Linked DNA regions of Saccharomyces cerevisiae S288C. Changing the gene in region 1 together with any one later gene gives a genetic interaction. Each region holds a gene or a part of one and is shown on either strand. Other genes may lie near its edges.

The links. Genes that interact genetically often act in the same process or in processes that back each other up.
Region 2: mutations in SSU1 (region 1) and PAU5 together harm fitness less than expected from each alone (positive genetic interaction), as found in Saccharomyces cerevisiae (one large-scale study listed by BioGRID).

The regions. Positions count from the first base shown.
Region 1 is NC_001148.4:371,845-375,688, reverse strand, and holds SSU1 (Ssu1p), read right to left. Parts: upstream 1,897-3,844; coding exon 520-1,896; downstream 1-519. Other genes in the region: glutathione-disulfide reductase GLR1, read right to left, coding at 1-187; putative GTPase NOG1, read right to left, coding at 2,768-3,844. UniProt on the Saccharomyces cerevisiae protein: Involved in efflux of free sulfite. Mutations in the SSU1 gene cause sensitivity to sulfite.
Region 2 is NC_001138.5:98,709-101,588, forward strand, and holds PAU5 (seripauperin PAU5), read right to left. Parts: upstream 892-2,880; coding exon 523-891; downstream 1-522. Other genes in the region: YFL019C (uncharacterized protein), read right to left, coding at 1,544-1,897.

The DNA of each region.
Region 1 (3,844 bases):
TAACACAGGTACCACCAAGAGCCTTAGCTTCAACTAGTAATGTCTTCGCACCATAAGATGCAGCTCTTCTTGCGGAAGCAACACCCCCTGAGCCACCCCCGATGACGAGGTAATCGTAATGCTTGGTGTTCGTGGACATAGTTCTTATCTGTAGACTTCTAAATGTTTGTTTGGTTGCAGAAAGCATAAAGTTCTGTAAACTAATATGTAAATAGATATATATACATATGAAGGAAAGCAGCAAAATATACTGAGAGTGAGAAGCGCATGAGAAAAACCAGAAGTGTTTCTTATACTTTTTTAGACTGATTTTAATAGTAGATTCCAAATGGAAAGCTCCGAAATCCTCGAAAAATTGACAAGGGTCGTGCTTACTAAGTGACGTCAAAAAATATCAGGCATAGTGAAAACCAACGTGAAGAAGCAAAAGCAGCAAAGCGCCGTGCAAATGAATTAAACTATCTATTGAGACTCCTACATGAAATGCTTGCCAATTATGTACGTATAAAACCAACAATTTTATGCTAAACGCGTAAAATCTAGAGCCGAGTTTGATTCTTCCACGCTTTCAATGCTGTTATACGGAGAAACTGTCGTCTTTTCCGTACCTGACTCTGAAAATAATGAAGATTTACGGGCAGCATGCAGCATCTTTTTAGAATACTCATGCAATGTGCATAAAAGGCATAGAATTGACCAACAAACGCAAACACCGCCGTATATGGTTCCTAGGACTCTAAATGCATATAAGGGAACGTACTGGTTATACTGCACATATAACTCTTCGTTTCCTAAAGACATAGTACCCATCGGGAAAGTCATCCCCCAAAAACCTTTGTGGAAGGTATAAACTCTCTTCACTTTTCCTGTCTCGTTTTCAATCTCTTTTTTATTGTAGTACGACAGGATTGAAACGACAGAAATCACGGTGAAAAAATAGCCCATAGCGAGCAATGCCATAGCAGAAACCATGCCTAGAATTTTGAAACACCATGGAACTGCAATAGTCAATATCTCTTGTTCTCTTGTAATGTTATCTGTTGGGTAATATTTGCCCGCATATTTTTTTATATTATCTGTAAGCAATAAGACTCCAAAACTTCCTTGGCCCATCGGGCCCAAAAGCAGGAATAAGGTGAAAACCTGTGTCATTGGTGGTATCTTATTAATATAAAGACTCCAGAAGTATATCGCAATCAGTATGAAGACGAAGATAATGGCATGCAGCCACGTTAAGGCACATATGACCAACGTTATCAGTTGAATGTTTCTATTAAACGCATGGAAGAATATTTCTGACATTGTGAATGTTCCACAACTTGAAGCGACGACAACCAGCGGAATGATATCCAGTAGCAATACACTTTTCATGTTTTCGGATGCCATTTTGATATTATATGAAGGATAATTCCCAATCCCTTCCAAAGGGTAATAGTCATGCCAGATGAGAAACGAGATACCCCACGCTATTACTAGACAGACTGCGAGATCATACCACCACAAGACGTAAACAAATATCATCAAATTTCTGGCATTAGTGGGGCTCTTCGTCGTGTTCGCTTTCGAGAGTGCTCCTAAGAAATTTATAATTGTAACTAACCCCATGGGATAAGTACCCCAAAATAAATTGTGCTTCATATTTCTGAAAAAGTCATTAAAATATTCTCTGAAGCTTTTCTCCTTAATATAGACAATCAAATGTAATATTTGTAGTGCCTGCACAGCAATGAAAATAAGGCAAGCGATAGCAAACATGATGTAGGAGCATATTCTTAGCCACCTTGCAGGATATGGGAAGCTATATAGAATATTCGATGAAATGCCGACACCCATGACCATCATAAACATGAAGGGGTCAAACTGCCTCGTAAGAGCAAGTACCCAATTGGCAACCATTTTTTTCTTGTACTTGTCTTCTCTTACACTATAAAACGTTTTTAAATTGCGCGTATTGTCTGAGCTCAATCAACAATCGTTACTAGGGGAAAGCTGTAATTTGTGTGTTGTCTAAATGCGGAGAATTTGTTCAGCCAATATCACAAGTTTCAACTTAACAAGACAAGGATTAGAAATAAGAACTACACGCTGGTTGGCTATTCTTTTAGAACCTCTAGTTAAATAGGTAAAATAAGCAAAGTGAGCAAAAATAAGCAAAAGAAGTCAAAGACAACCCCAATGTGCCAAAGACGGCGATGAGTCTTCTGTTTTTTAAGATTCATGCACTCTCAGATTTTCGGCTACAGACGCGGCACAAGGATGAAAAAAAAAAAATGATAGTTTGCAGGAATTTATCAGTCAATTGATGGGAGACATCGCTATTGTTGCCTTATACGATACACTGCAAAAACGATAACAATTTCTTATTTGTCAACCTCGTGGGAGACTCGATAGGTTGCATGATGATGTGTCACAAAAAAGTAGAAGTGTCATCTTGACGCTATCCCACCCCTTCTTTTTCCACATGCTTAATTATTTGTATACATCCAGTGACATACAAAAAAATAGTAGAACATGGAGGGGTCGGCTTGTTGGATAATTTAAATCGGTTTATTATTATTATACAGATTAAATAAAATTTTTTTAAAAAAAAGATACAGAAAAAGTGAGAAAGAAAGAAAAAGAAACCACTAATAGTGAGAGAGATAATCAAATGTAAATGGTAATCCTACCAGCCCAAAAAGATTAGAATGTCGTGTACGTACATCCACATTTTATATTCATATTTTTTTTAAAGTACATGCAAAAGAAAGAATAAGAAGTAGAGAAATCAACGGAAATCTGTCTTACCGACACCACGCTTACCACTGAATAAATGCTTTGATAAGGAAACAGCATTGTGTCTATCAGATTCACCTTGCTTGGCATGTCTATTTCTTTCTCTTCTTTCCATCTTGGCCATCCTGTCGGCCTTGGATCTCATGGAGCCATCAGCAACACCATCCAACAGTCTATCGGTTTGTCTCAACTTGACACCGTTTTCAGTGGAAGCTGTCAAAGCATCTTGGTCGCCAAAAACAACATCAGAACCTCTTTCAACATAACGGTTCTTACGAGCAGCACGGTTCTGTTTATCTTGTAAGGCTGACATGTCATGGCCCAAAGTGGACATGTGTTCTTCCATTTTACCAAAGGACTTAGTTAGTTTAGAACGTGGCATGATAGCTTTGTTCTTCAAGGACTTCCTATTTCTTGCTTCAGCAATCATCGTCTTTTGTCTATTTCTAATCCATGCAGCTTTCTCCTTGATATCATCTACTTCGGATGCTTCGAAACCGTCGTAGATTTCTTCCTCATCGTCAGAATTGTAGAACCCTTCGTTCTCCAATTTTTCTTCTTCTTCTTCAAGAGCCTGCAGTTTAGCAGCGATTTCAGGGTCCAAGAAATCATAAACATTCTTACCATCCAAGATTTCTGGCATGATGTCATTCTTCCACTCATCATCTTCTAATAGGTACTTGTCCTTCAAGTTAACATTGAAGACACCAGCACCACCATTTTCAGCTTCGATGTCTCTGGCCAACTTTCTCCTGTTTGGATCTTCAGGGTCGTATTTCTTCAAATTCTTGACAGATTCTGGGATAAATGGTGTTCTCTTGACATCATCTCTTGCTTGAGGTTGAGCAACATGAATCTTGTTCAGAACATTGTTGATTCTAGACTGAGATTTCAACTTATTCTCAATTCTAGAAGCCAATAGTTTTTCACATGCTTTGTTTCTAACTTCCATAACGTTTTCTTCCAGTTGGCATGAAGAAGTCATGATTTCAACACCTGGAACCTCCTTAACAGATTCCAGTAATTGTGCACGCTCTTCGTCTAAATCCTCCGGTCTGATAATGTCGGT
Region 2 (2,880 bases), on another chromosome or scaffold:
ATGACTAAAAAATAACTTGCATTCCACGATGTTATTTTACTTTATAAAGCACCTGCAATTTTTTTTTTTGTATTAACTCATCGAGTATGTCTGATGTGTAAACTGAACCAGGCTTAATATCGTTTCTAATTCTTGTTGTGAGAAAACTTTCCTGCCTAGTGTATTTCGTCAGGGCGAACCTTCGGATAGGCACCGAACTCCGAGATTCTTGCTCCAATTTAAGAAATAAGCTTTTTCCGTCCCAATACAATAGAACATTATTAAAGTTAATAATAAAAATGGCACGGCACCAGTTGGAAGTTAAATCCCAACATTTGCTGCAAGAATAGAAAAGAAGTCATAACAAATTTGCATATTACTTACGGCTTCAAAAAAGCACCGAAACTAATCGAGAAAGCTTATAATATCGGTATACATTTGAATGTATTTTAACTATTTCTATATCAAAAAAAAAAAAAAAAATTGTATATTTTTCGTTATTCTCTAATTCGTATCACATTTTATCCCTAAGGGAATCTATCTCTAATTTGCAATAGTGTAGATACCGTCTGCGGATAGAGCGCTAGAGATAGCTGGCTTTAATCTGCTAGAGTACCATGGAACACCAGTGATAACTCTGGTAACTTGGTCGGCGGGAATACCAGTCAACATGGTGGTGAAATCACCGTAGTTGAAAACAGCTTCTGCAATTTCAACTGGATAAGTTTCAGTTGGGTGGGCAGCTTGGAAGGAGTAGTATTCAGCCAAATGAGCTCTGATATCGGAAACATAGACACCTAATTCAACCAAATTAACTCTTTCGTCAGATTGAGATAGTGTAGTGGTTGCTGCAGCGGAGGCACCAGCGGCAATGGCGGCGACACCAGCGGCGATTGAAGTTAATTTGACCATTGTATTTGTTGTTTTTTGGGTTGTTGCTTAGTGGAGATATAAGCTTAACTGGAAGGAAAAGAACAGAGAAATGTCTCAAACAAAGCTGATCAAACCGCTGTATTTATATAAATTTTTTGAGCAATTACATCCCAAACAGGCTATTACTGGTCACTCATTTTGCACTCATATCTCACATATTCTAATTCCTGGCCACTTAGCCATTATTACTATGGGGGTGTATTTTCCTTGAACGATGCTGCACTTCGTATAAGAAACACGCTTCATATTCCCCATATCTTCGTATGTTTAGAGCGCAAGAATGTTCCTTACAGTAAAGGTGCCTTTCGACCTGCAGACACAATGTTAGCCAAGTAATAGAAGCAAAGCCAATATTGTCTTGGCCTCGTTCAATTGCCTAACCCTTGGCACTAAACGGTTGCTAGGAGAAAAAACACGGACCTTTTCCCAAATTAGAAACACTAAAAAATGTTAATATGGTACTAGTCGTCGTACCCTGCTGAAATCATAAAAACCTTACGCCATCTGTGGGACTCGTCATAGGGTTTAGTGTATATTGAATGTTGGAAAATCTCTCGTTCTGATATGCCCAACAAACCAACAATGTACAATGTGAGGTTTCTACAAATCAACAACTATGGTTTCCCCTAATTCACTTGGATTGATTGGTTCTAGTGAAAACTTTACCTGTTACAAAGTTTTGAATCATTTTAATTAGATATCGTGTACCGAACAGTATCTGATTCGTATAAAAAAAGGAATATTGAAGGTCAGTTATCCTAGTGACAGGTGAAAAAAAATTGATATGTATGCCCTTTGTATTATCTTTGGGGTGGAAAGAAGTGAAAACAGAAGCAAATTGGTTTTGCAGTAAGTTTAGTCTTTTGACCTGTAACTGGTTAATTTCGAAATGACTGGTGGAGCCTGACTCGAATATAGAGCAAAGGGAGTCTTTAGTAGTATATCTTCTTACTTCGATGATATTTGAATAAAGTTCAACTATCATCTACCGATTAGTATTCATATTACTACTATATTATAATATGGGTGTGAGAATATGGCGTAACGTTTGAGAGATAGTCTCAGGTGTAGTGGAAGCTGAAATTCAGGGGAATGATGTTGTAATGGAATAATTAATGACAGGATATGAGATGGAAGGAAATTTAATTATATTATTACATAGAAATATCGATTTCCTTTTGTGAATTTCTATATCCTCGAGGAAACTTTCTGGTATACTTTGTATACTAAATTTTATAGCCTTTGACAACAACGAAATCCCAAAAAGTATTTCATAATTCATGTACTTACGAGAAGAAAAATCATTGCCCTGCTAGTGCTTCAAAAAATATAATTGGGAGCAACTAAAATCTCCTTGCAATGAGTTACAAGGAACAGATTCTTACCGGTAGTCCTGGTGAGCAAAAGACTTAACCATGTGGCAGCCGTTGTCTAATATCCACTAGCTATACACTTACATGGAATATTGGTTGCTGAAATAATTAGACTTAATGGTAGCAAACGTAGTGGTCATCCATATGAATATATGAGCAAGAAATAAACGTGAACATGTAAAATAGTAATACAGACACCATAATGTACAGGTTAATCCTGATATGTTTCTCGAATGAAATCGGGAAGACTAATAGGAGGCTCAATTCTATATTCACTCACGTTATGCGCCTGAATTTGAATGGATATTGTTGATAGAAGATTCCCTTTAATCACTCTCCTATATAAATATTTCTGTTTTTCTTATTAACGCAACAATAATTCGGGCGTGTGGTCTAGTGGTATGATTCTCGCTTTGGGCGACTTCCTGAATAAACAGGAAGACAAAGCATGCGAGAGGCCCTGGGTTCAATTCCCAGCTCGCCCCCTTTTTTTTGCATATCTGGTCATAATATCTTATCTGATCGACTAGTAGTTTCCTCATATATTAATTCCTTGTGCAATTTTTTTTTACTTACTCAATACTAAGCGGTTCTT